Ovis aries: one gene and its partner. The protein of the gene in region 2 interacts with the protein of the main gene of each other region in a biochemical or structural test. Links are inferred from orthologs where the notes say so. Each region holds a gene or a part of one and is shown on either strand. Other genes may lie near its edges.

Region 1 (6,129 bases), on a different chromosome or scaffold from region 2:
GAAATTAAGAAAGGACGTTTCCAGATACAAGTAAGTCATTTTTAGGGTAGACTACTAGGCTTTCATATTACTTAAAGTTTGAGATAAAAAACAAATAGGAAGAAACACAAAAGCCCTTTTCTAGCTTCCCAACTTGAGACCCTGAACACGTGACAGCAGAGCAGCCTCCTCCAGGTGAGCCTAACCGCTCGGTTATGGAGCACAGACTGAGCCTCCTCCAGGTGAGCCTAACCGCTCGGTTACGGAGCACAGACTGAGCCTCCTCCAGGTGAGCCTAACCGCTCGGTTACGGAGCACAGACTGAGCCTCCTCCAGGTGAGCCTAACCGCTCGGTTACGGAGCACAGACTGAGCCTCCTCCAGGTGAGCCTAACCGCTCGGTTACGGAGCACAGACTGAGCCTCCTCCAGGTGAGCCTAACCGCTCAGTTACGGAGCACAGACTGACTGACCAGAGCGCAGCCGTCAAAACTCTCAGAACTGTGTGTAACTCTGCTAAACCTGAAAGCAAAGTGGCCAAATCACTGCCAGCTCCTAGATCTACAGCTACACGATAGAGCTATGAGTTCTAAACATGAATCCATGGCAGGAGGGCGGAAGTCTCCGGAAAGCGGGACGGCACACGCTACCTGCTTGTCTGGCAGTCACGTGCTGGTCTTTCTGTTTACTGGGCTGCAGATCCATATCTTCGTCATCTTCATAGCTTCTCTTGTGCCGGCTGGGGGTGTAAGACGTTGAAGGGCTGACTCGAGCTTGGTTGGCATTAACATAGGCGTTAAATGAAGGGTTAAAGAAAGATTTCCATGAAATGGGGAATATCCTAAAATTATGCTACCTCTATGACTAATAAAAGACTACTTCTATTTTGGTAGCTTACTACTACTTTCGTAGCTTGGTTAAAATAAAAATACTTTTTTAAAAGAAGACTGATGTATACAAAAAAATAAGCTACAAGGATATACTGCATAGCACCATAAATATAGGCAATATTTTATAATAAATATGAACGAAGTAAAATCTACCAAAATTTTTGAATCATTATGTTGTACCTGAAGTTAATACACTATTGTAAACCAACTACACCTCAATATATTAAAAAAAAAGAAACAAGAATTAAAAAATTATTTTTTCCAGCTAACTTCATTGAGGTAAAAAGACTAAGCTTGAAAAAAAAGAAAATGAATTGTTATCTCTTCAATTAAGAAAATTATCAGGAAGCATTCAACACATAACAAGGTTCAGATAAAGGATATTTCTTTTACCCACATAGATTCTCCAGGCACTGGAACACAGTAGAATGTCTGTCTCTCCAAAGTAGTAGTTCGTGGAGAGTTTAAATCAACTTCTTGCTGAGGCTGTGATGTTCACAAAATTTTATTTATTAAAAAAAATTAGCAACTGTGTTTTCAGATTGTTTATAAAAATCACAGTAAATACTTCATATGGAGTTAATTAACAAGCGACTAGTAAATCTAAACTATCATTTTTGAAACGAAAACTGACATAAAATCACTTCAAATGCAATCATCAATGCAGTGTGTACAGCTTGAGACGGTATGTATAAGCAAGGTGGGCAGCCTGAAATGGTATGTATAAGCAAGGTGGGTTTTGTTTCTTTCTTTCCTTCCAGGGCCAAAGTCCCCTTTTCCTGGTACGGTGCTCACTCTTACAACTCTTCAGCAACACAGCACAAACTCTTGCTCAGTGTGTCCAACTCTGCAACCCCATGGACTGTAGCCCACCAGGCTCCTCTCCCCATGGGAATTCTCCAGGCAAGAATACTGGAGTGGGCTGCCATGCCCTCCTCCAGAGGGTCTTCCCGACCTAAGGATCGAATGCAGGCCTCCTGCACTGCAGGCGGATTCTTTACTGTCTAAGCCACCAGGAAAGCCCAATTAATACTGCAGCTTCCCTCAAATCCAAAATACATAATACCCTAGGCTACAAAATTAAATCCCTAAAATAAACACAGTACTTTGTTAAACTTTTTTCAAAGACAACACTCATGGTAATCCCACTGTCTCTCTCACAGGAATGCTATCAACATTAGCCAATAGGAATTTAATGATACACTTCTTATGATGTTGCTCTGAGATGAGACTGAAAAAAGAAATTATTTCAAGACACTCATATTACTTTTATAGCATACAAAAAAATCCCTTACAAGTAAACAGAATCTATATTCTATCTTATAAGAGAAAAACAAAGAAAGAAAGAAAGCCAGAGACACCAATTGAGTCTGAGATGGTATGTGTAAGCAAAGCGGCTTTTCTTTCTTTCCTTCCAGGGCCAAAGACCCTTTTCCTGGTATGGTGTTCTTACTTATGACTCTTCAGAAACACAGCACAAACTCTTTGCCTTTGGGAGTATCACAGATGGACACCCTCATCCATTTTATTCTCCAATTTCCAGATGTTGAGATTACTGAGTTAGAGAGACACTGCATTACTGTGTACTAGAAGAAAAACTGTGTATTAATTTATCAGCTTAATGTAACTTAGGGCTCCATAAACAGGAATGCAGGATTATAAAGTTGACTCATTAGACTCAGCACAACAATGTATTACCCTGTCATGGAAATGCCCTTAAAAAAGACACTGGGAGACTTGGAGGTCATCAAAAGATTAAACGAATTCATCTTTCACGAGTCCATTACTCTAAGAAAGTATAGGAAGTTATATTTCATTCTCTATAGAAACCTTCCTAATTAGGGCCATTCTTCCACACAGATCAGCCTGCTGAGCTAGAATATTTATTCTAGGATTTTGCCTTCTTTCTTCTTCCCTTTCCCATTATTGATATGTAGGAGAGTTTCTATTACTTCCTTTTATCAAAGAAGGCTTAGGTTTACTTTTTTCTTCCCAGGAAGAGAGGGCAGGATTTAATCAAATTTAATGAAGCACATGTAGGGGGTTCCCTGGCAGTTCAGGGGTTAGGACTCCATGCTACCAGTGTAGGGAACTAAGATCCCAAATGCTGTGCCACGTGGCCAAAAGAAAGAAAAAAAGGTATAAAAAATTAAGCGCATGCAAAGCCCTGAAATAATATTCTTTCATTTTTCTTCTACTTTTAATTTTAAAAGAACTTAAGTAATTTTTAAAAGCAAGTGTATAGATATTAGGAAAAGAAAGGAATTAACTTTGTCATTTACAATATTCCACCTTCTAAGACATTTTTAGAAGATCAAAAAAAAATCATATCAGAGAAACTCAAGTAAAAGGCAAATAAACAAAACATTTCACATGACTTCTTAGAACTTATATACAAGATAAGTAAATTTATGATCAACCAAAGGAAAATAATATTACCTGCCCAGGAAAAAAAGCTCATTAAAAAGTTTTTAATATATTTTAAGTATACATACCCCACACTCTGCTACATCTCTATATTTTCCAAAATGAAGAACCTATGATCAAAACAATATATTAAGATATCAGAATCAAAACTGCCACAGACAACACAAGGTCAAAGCTAATCCTACTAATTGTAAACACTAAGTTTCATGAAAAAAGCAATACATACACGTGCTTTTGTGTTTCGGTTAACAGTTTCATAAACTCCCATGTAAAATTCAGGGTCAAACATATCCTGAACCATGCAACGAAACTTCACAAAACTGTTAGGTTTCAAATAATGAAGAGGAACTTCATTCAGTGATGGTACCTTAAAGGGAAACAAACAAGTCAAAATAGTCTCTGTTTTGCAGAGACAAGCACATACACATGTATATCCAGACAAACTGCCATTCCCCACCTACCCACCCCCAATACAAAATCAAGCCCTATCAAGGAGCCAAATGATTTCAACGGTCAACAACACAACTGCTGAACAAAAGTCCTTTCCGCATTCTTGCAAGTTCAGTTCGTATGATGACGTTTGATTATAATCTCAAAGGATGCTTTTCCTTCAGAACACTTTCCACTTAGCAGAAAGGCATTTGCTTTGTTGAGCTATTCTCTTAAACTCATACAAGTAATTCTTTAAAATGAAGGTAATAAAAGATCATCAAAGTTCTCACAATTGCCCTTTTTTTTTTTCCCACAGTCAGTTACTGCCACCTACAGGTGCCAGTACAGAAGCATTTATTTGCTTGAATTTAAATTGCAAGAGACCAAAATCTTTTAATACATATGCACTTAAGGCAGAGGGCGGTACACGTTAATTTATATATTTTTAAGTTATATGTGGATCACTACTGTGAGAAATTGGAAGTCTGCCCAACCCTTGCCCGCCCACCCACCCCCAGCAAACAGCAATAACAAGCTTACCCATTTAGGAGCATTATTCTCCTTCAGCTTTTCCTTAAAATAGTCTATTACTTTCTTCTCCCAGTCAGGATTAACCCCATTTTGAGCTGAAAGAAAAATATACTTTTCAAAGCTGAAGGTACATTAGTTTAGGGTGCCTTATTGGAAGCGCTGCACAAGACACCAGAAGCTGATATGACAGTTGGGGTGAGGCTGAGCCCCTGCGGGCTCTCAGGTGCTAACAGTTTCCCAAGAGCTCTTCCACAGTGAGAGATGAGGCCCCAGACAGAGCAGCACAGGAACCATCACCTGAAAAGCACTCTGCTGCTTGAAAACATTTTAATACAGATTTAAAACACTTTTACAATCACCCTGAAATGGAAAGCAGAGCATGTTCTTCTTCTACTGTTTTTAACTTTTTATTTGGGAATAATTTCAAACTTCCAAAAAGTCACAATAAAAATTACAAAGAACACCTGTACCCTTGCCCCCATTTACTTTATTATTCGCTTGCTCTCTCTCCCTCTCCCACATTTTTCTCACTTGAGCTTACATTACACACACATCATTTATTTTTACCTTTAAATAGTACTTGGGCTTCCCTGGTGGCTCAGCTGGTAAAGAATCCGCCTGCAATGCAGGAGACCTGGGTTTGATCCCTGAGTTGAGAAGATCCCCTGGAGAAGGGAAAGGCTACCCAACTCCAGTATTCTGGCCTGGAGAATTCCATGGACTGTATAGTCCAAGGGGCCGCAAAGAGTCGGACGCGACTGAGCGACTTTCACTTAAATAGTACAGTGTGTTTCCTAAGAATAAGGAGATTATCTTACATAACCACGGTACTTGCTATCAATCTCAGGAAATTCGAAATCAATACCAAACTCTTTTTACCAAGCCTACCACACATATTCCAGCTAGTCTCCCGACCCATCACTATTGTCTCCTGTATTTTTTCCACTTCAGTGCATATTCAGTTTAGGATCGCAGCCTGCTTTCTGCTATCAATTTTTTCTTTTCAATCTTTTTCTACTCCGGAACAGTTCCTCAATCTTTATCTTTTACGACACTGATAATGAAGAATACAAACCCATTATAAAAAAACAGCATGTTCCTCACTGGGTCTGTCTGATGTTTCTTTATGCGTGGACTGCGGTTACGCGTTACCAGTCAGAGTGCTACGTAAGCATGTGGTGTCCTGGAACGGTTGTATGCGCTTCATTGAGACAGGAGATGCTCATCTTCTCTCCACGCATGACGTTAATTTTCACCACCCAGTAAAAGTGACAGCCAAGTTCTCCACAGCAGTCACTTCCGCCCTCTCCCCTCTAGTAAGCAATCTACAGGAGATGCCTCAGGACCAAACAAGTAATTTTCATGAAACTTGCCCTGCTCCCAAGATTCAGCACACCTCTACCTCTTGCAACGATGATTGCAAAATAAGAAAAAGGTGTTTTTAATGTCATATTAAGGATAAGAAACCAGCTTTTGAAAAACTATGGGAACTGGCCAAGACTAAAAAGTGAATCATCAAAAAAAAAAAAAAAAAAAAACCAACCAGGAATATATATATACGCATGTTTTCATGAATTAGAACTACCTAACCAGACCTTTGCCAACAAAGGTCCGTCTAGTCAAGGCTATGGTTTTTCCAGTGGTCATGTATGGATGTGAGAATTTGACTGTGAAGAAAGCTGAGGGCCGAAGAATTGATGCTTTTGAACTGTGGTGTTGGAGAAGACTCTTGAAAGTCCCTTGGACTGCAAGGAGATCCAACTAGTCCATTCTAAAGGAGATCAGTCCTGGGTGTTCATTGGAAGGACTGATGCTAAAGCTGAAACTCCAATACTTTGGCCACCTCATGTGAAAGACCCTGATGCTGGGAGG
Region 2 (6,129 bases):
AGCATAGCCATCTTCCAGAGCAACGTCCCTGGGGCAGTGGAGGTGCCGGGTATCTGGATGTCCTGAGATGTCCATTCCCTGTCCTTCCAGATCAAGCTTCAGGAGTCCCCCGAAGACATGCCTGCGGGGCAGACGCCGCACACGGTCGTCCTCTTTGCTCACAATGACCTCGTGGACAAGGTCCAGCCTGGGGACAGAGTGCACATCACAGGTGAGGGGCTCCACCGTCAGGCCTCTGACCTGGTTGGGGGCAGATGACCTGGGGCTGCTGTTTTCAGTGCCAGCCTCTGACCTCCAATGTGGTGCCTTCCCAGACAGCAGGTTGTCTTGTTGTCCGAAATAACTAGTGAGCGACTTTAAATACGTGAGCCTTTTGGATTTCCTTTCTTTTTAGGCTTTTGGAACAGGATTTTAATATTTTTAGTCAAATTATTAATAACTGTACATTCCCTTAAAGAGAAATAAGAACTCTGTCTCACACTGAACACAGCAGCAGGCAGGCGCCGGGTGGAGGTGGGTTTCCCCAGTCAGCCTTTCGGCTGGGCTCAGAGCCCCCAGAGCCCTGTTCCCCCTGCTCTGGACTGAGAGCAGGCAGGTGAGAGGGTGTCCTTCGTGCCTTCAGGCATCTATCGAGCCGTCCCCATTCGCATCAACCCCAGAGTGAGCAATGTGAAGTCTGTCTACAAAACCCACATTGACGTCATTCACTACCGGAAGACTGACTCAAAGCGTCTGCATGGCCTTGACGAAGAAGCAGAGCAGAAACTTTTCTCTGAGAAACGTGTGGAGTTGCTCAAAGAGCTTTCCAGGAAGCCAGACATCTATGAGAGGCTTGCATCTGCCCTGGCGCCAAGCATCTATGAGCATGAAGACATAAAGAAGGTAACTGACCTCGAAAGGCTTCTTGCTTACGGCCAGGCCTGAAAGCTCAAGGTCAGATGGTGTGAACACCGGGAAAGGCTGAGCCTCGGGTGGAACAGGGGCCGCACCCTCATCTCCACCCCCGGCTCACCCGTTTCCAGGCAGGCCCTGTGTGGCTTCTGACCCGCTCTCGTCCTCTGATCTCTTCACCATCCATTTGCTCAGCCCCCTGCCTCTCCACCACCCACCTCAGGTGAGTGCTGAGACCTGTCTGTCCGTCTATCCAGGGAATCTTGCTTCAGCTCTTCGGCGGGACTAGAAAGGATTTCAGCCACACGGGGAGGGGCAAGTTCCGCGCGGAGATCAACATCCTGCTGTGCGGGGACCCAGGGACCAGCAAGTCCCAGCTGCTGCAGTACGTGCACAACCTGGTCCCGCGGGGCCAGTACACGTCCGGGAAGGGCTCCAGTGCCGTGGGCCTCACTGCCTACGTCATGAAGGACCCTGAGACACGGCAGCTGGTGTTGCAGACCGGCGCCCTGGTGCTGAGCGACAATGGCATCTGCTGCATCGACGAGTTCGACAAGATGAATGAAAGCACGCGCTCCGTGCTACACGAGGTCATGGAGCAGCAGACACTGTCCATCGCCAAGGTCAGCCACCCACCCGCTCTGATGTCTGCGTGGGGGTGGGGGATGGGGCCTGGACCACAGCGTCTGGACTTGCAGCTCGGGAGGCTGGCCAACACTCTGCTGTCAGGTCCCAGCCCATCTGAGTGTCCTCTACAGGACCTGGGTCCTCTGTGCGGTACTAACCTCTAATGCCTGGTGTTCACAGAACTTTTGTCCTAAATCTCATGCCAGGGATTTGGTTTTTGAGAAGATGTAGTCACAGCAAATGTTTACCCCCACCTCCATCCTTGGTGTGAAACTCAGCTTAGGCTTCCCCAGTGGATGCTGTAGGTACCGTGCTTGTGGTGCCAGGGGTTCCTGGCAAAGGCCACCCGAGGCAGGGGCTCTGAGCTCCTGCTGGCCTCAGCGTGAGGCTGCTGACCACGCTATCGGTCCCTCCCGCAGGCTGGGATCATCTGTCAGCTCAACGCCCGCACCTCCATCCTGGCAGCAGCAAACCCGATTGAGTCTCAGTGGAATCCGAAAAAAACCACCATTGAAAACATCCAGCTGCCCCACACACTCTTATCAAGGTATGATAGCACATGTTCATCAAACAAATGCTTTCATTTTCCTCATCTGTGGAAGGCTCAGGGTGAGGGTGAGAAGGAAATAACCAGAGTTAACACAGCCAGTCGCCGTCTCTTCATGCTGGTGTGGTCTGCATGTCTGCTTAGTCACGGGTCCTGAGGTGAGGACCACGCGCTTGCTCACCTTGACGGATGCTTGTTTCTTGGAGCGGTTGGGGCCTGTCTGCTCCATTCTGTCAGAAGCCCACCTCTTGCTGCTCTTGGTCCTATAGCCACTGTAGACAATCAGCAAAGTGCAGAGAGCAGCTTCCTGCAATAGACAAGGGTCTGAGAGCTGCCTTTGTGGGAGGGGAGATGTGACCCAGGCTTCCTCTCAAGGATGGATGTATTTCATAAATGGGTTTTAGAATTTGGTTCCTTCACTTCTTACACAAATAGTTCCTTTTCCCCAGCACAGCTCAATGTGTTTCACTCACCTCCTCCAGTCTTCAGAATCACAGCAGTGTTTCCCTCCAGAGCCTCCTGCTTCTGACTCACCTTCAGCGCCCAACACTTATTCCCAGGCAGACTGAGGGCTGGGGCAGGAGACCCGGGGGCCTGAGCTCCTCGGACCACCTGGGCCGGGCGCGCCTGCCACTCCCACGGAGGCCGCAGGTCCACATCAGGTGCGTGGGTGTCCTGACTGGGCACCATCACTGTGTCTCCTCAGGTTTGACTTGATCTTCCTCATGCTGGACCCCCAGGACGAGGCATACGACCGGCGCCTGGCTCACCACCTGGTGTCCCTGTACTACCAGAGTGAGGAGCAGGCACAGGAGGAGGGCATGGACATGGCGGTGCTCAGGGACTACATCGCCTACGCGCACAGCACCGTGACACCAAGGCTCAGCCAGGACGCCAGCCAGGCCCTCGTCGAGGTACCGCGGCCCGAAGTGCTGCTGGGCCCTGCTCAGCCCTGAAACAGTCTTTAGTCAAGAACAACACTGTCTTCTACAACTGTTTTCCTTCCTGTGTTGCAAAGCTGACTTTTCCACGTGTGGAAGAGGGAAAAGGATTATTTCTACAAGTTGTGTGCTCTTTTTAAAGTTCTTGTAAGCACAGTGTATTTAAGACCAGGATGCCTGAGTTGAAATATCGGTGAGGCTGTTAATACTTAGTGACTTTGTAATTCTGGTCTCTGAGCTGCATTTGCTCATTTCTAAAGAATTGAAGTATTTTATGTTCACTTCTCAGTACCTTTTAAGTGGGCAGCAGTGCCTGGTGACACGCATGGATGTTGTGACACTAGGAAGGTTCCTAGTGCTTTGGTGGGCTTTCCATCCTGACAGTTCTGAAGATGCTCAAGTGACAGTTAGAAGTGATTCGTAGTTTTCCCTCTGGGTCATCTTGAGAATCAGGTCATCCACACGAGTTCACAGTTTACCCTTTGTGTGCTCTGTGTCAGCGCCCCTTGGCCTGCTGCTATTTGGTCCTCCTAGGGTGTGAACAGGCCAAGTCCTCAGCTCCCTCCCCAGCGCCACAATCCCCCCACTGGTGCCACCTCTCCCCCAGATGAGGGTGGAGGCCTAAGGCTAGACCATGCTCTTGTTCCCCTCAGGACTTCCCTCCCTGCGGTCACCATGTGAGGAGTCAGCCTGTCTCCTGTCTTACAGGCCTACGTGGACATGAGGAAGGTTGGCAGTAGCCGAGGGATGGTGTCTGCGTACCCCCGGCAGCTGGAGTCACTGATCCGCTTGGCAGAAGCCCACGCGAAAGTGCGGTTTTCAAACAAGGTGGAGGCCATTGACGTGGAGGAGGCCAAGCGCCTGCACCGGGAGGCACTGAAGCAGTCGGCCACCGACCCGCGGACAGGCATCGTAGACATCTCCATCCTCACCACAGGTCAGCCTTCCCCCGACGTGGGTGCTGCCCTATCTCGAGTCAGAGCCCCCATGAACACGCGATGGGGCTGGGCGGAGGCAGACGCTGGCACACTCGGCCCAGCTCTGTCCCACCCAGCCGTCCAGGCACCGAGTGATTCAGGCCCCCACAAGGGGGACTCTGTGGACACAGACTCCTGTGTGGACTGCTGGGCTGTGTCTCAGTGGCCAGTAGCGGCTCTGAGCTTTTATAAAACTGGGGACAGGATTCAGACCTCACTCTGGCATTCAGCCACCATCCCCTTACCTTGTCTGGTGACAAGACTAAAGATTATTTTAGAAGAAATACTAGAGATTTGAAAGGTGTTCCCTTGATTATGGGAGAAACATCTTCATTGCTTTCTCTTAACTCAGGAATGAGTGCTACCTCTCGGAAGCGGAAAGAAGAGTTAGCGGAAGCATTGAGAAAGCTTATTTTATCAAAGGGCAAGACACCAACCCTGAAATACCAGCAGCTCTTTGAAGATATTCGGGGACAGTCTGACATAGTAAGTGTTTACATGGACATTTTGTTTGTTTAATAGTTTTCTTTTCCTTTGATGCTGCTTTAAAGTTTTTTTCCCTAGCTTTCCCCCTTCATTTACTGCTTGAGTAATAAATGTAGATACACATAAGAGAAGTACGGTCCCCATCCATAGTGAGTGATCACATTGAGAATTTTTTCAGTCTTCTGTGTGGATGTAGATGAGTAGTTTTGAGCAGAGTCAGTGGTTTCTTTTTTAATCAGTGACAGTCTTAGCTCTTTCTGTGACACTGAATCCACTGCGACATGTTTGCTCTGTCTCATGCCTTCCCCATCATGTACTCAACTGTCGGTGGACATTTAGTGTTTGCAGTTTTTGGCTGTTATTAGGAAAGCCAGGTTCACGGCAGGGGCTCTGCTGGTTGGGACCAGCCCTTGCCTGCTTTCCTGACACCCCCTTCTTGGCCCCACATGACCGCTGAGTGGTTCACACAGACCAGGGGCGCCAGGCCTGTGGTGCTTAGCATCAAGCCCTTTAGGGGAAGAGCTGGAGCATGAAATGTCTGTCCAGCCGCCCAGAAGGCAGGAGACTCCAGTGGTTTCTGAACTTGGGCTCCTTGTGTGTCTGGGGAGGGCAGCTCCAGATGTAAACTCTTTGCTCTTCCCTGAAGGCAATCACCAAGGACATGTTTGAAGAAGCGCTGCGCGCCCTGGCGGATGACGACTTCTTGACAGTAACTGGGAAGACTGTGCGTCTGCTCTGAAGGCCCAGGAGCAGCATGGTCCTGGCCCTGCCGCCAGCAGGAGGAGGGGCTTCAAGGTCATTGCTTGGCACCATGAGAATTTTCTCACGTGGCTTCACTGTTCCTAGGAAGCCCGTGTATTCATCTGTTGATACTGAGTGAAGCGTCCTAGGCCATCTGAGTGTGTGAGGCAGAGACTGAGTATCATGGAGCACCAGGGCTGAGTAGCGTGTCCCTACAGACAGCAGGACGCACTCTTCTCTGCAGACTGCGGTCTCAGTCCTGGTCTGTGCTGGACTCTGTCGGGTACTGGAGACGCGGGTGTTCCCATCCCTCCCTTTGAGGAGGTGACAGGCCCCGCTGAGTCCTCCAGGCTTGTTTACTTGCCTACAAGAGGCTGGTAACAATGGGGTTCTATGTTAACTTGTATTGCTTTGCTCTAATGTGTAAAATTTCTTCCTCAATAAGTGATAGAATAAGTAATACTTGGTTATCTGGCACTTTTCACTAAGAAAAAAGCTTTAATAAACACTGCTTTTACGGAAATTCATGATGTTAATTACTTCCTATAAGTCACTAATAAGTTTCATCATATTTAAAAATTTCGGTTTTAGCAGTCATTCTCATAAAACCACCATTGGCTGCAATCTCAGGCAGAAATACGACTATAACAAGTAATCCCTGAAACGTGTCACTGTGTGAGTTTGGCCTTCTTATAACTTAAAGTCACTATTCATTGGGAAAGTGTCCAGACAGAATTGAGTGCTTAAACAGCATTACATTGGGCGTCGGGGGTGGAATTTGAGGTCATCCAAGCAGTGTCACCTTTGACTTCCCCTGAAGTAATACATTAATGATGTTTTTCTGAACTCTTAATTCAGTACCAACGTGGAACTGAAGGCTGCAAATGATGTTTGATTTTAAGGGAATTTGAGTCAAATG

The links. The genes of interacting proteins can lie anywhere in the genome.
Region 1: the proteins of MCM4 (region 2) and MCMBP form a complex in vitro, tested with the Homo sapiens proteins (2 studies listed by BioGRID). The link is inferred for Ovis aries from reciprocal best matches to the Homo sapiens genes MCM4 and MCMBP.

Annotation. Positions count from the first base shown.
Region 1 is NC_056075.1:39,480,576-39,486,704, forward strand, and holds part of MCMBP (mini-chromosome maintenance complex-binding protein), read right to left. Parts: intron 4,353-6,129; coding exon 4,267-4,352; intron 3,662-4,266; coding exon 3,521-3,661; intron 3,405-3,520; coding exon 3,363-3,404; intron 1,354-3,362; coding exon 1,252-1,353; intron 773-1,251; coding exon 628-772; intron 1-627. UniProt on the Homo sapiens protein: Associated component of the MCM complex that acts as a regulator of DNA replication.
Region 2 is NC_056062.1:32,580,446-32,586,574, forward strand, and holds the end of MCM4 (DNA replication licensing factor MCM4), read left to right. Parts: intron 1-90; coding exon 91-211; intron 212-622; coding exon 623-882; intron 883-1,148; coding exon 1,149-1,514; intron 1,515-1,937; coding exon 1,938-2,065; intron 2,066-2,771; coding exon 2,772-2,979; intron 2,980-3,714; coding exon 3,715-3,943; intron 3,944-4,335; coding exon 4,336-4,469; intron 4,470-5,115; coding exon 5,116-5,208; 3' UTR 5,209-5,733; downstream 5,734-6,129. UniProt on the Homo sapiens protein: Acts as a component of the MCM2-7 complex (MCM complex) which is the replicative helicase essential for 'once per cell cycle' DNA replication initiation and elongation in eukaryotic cells.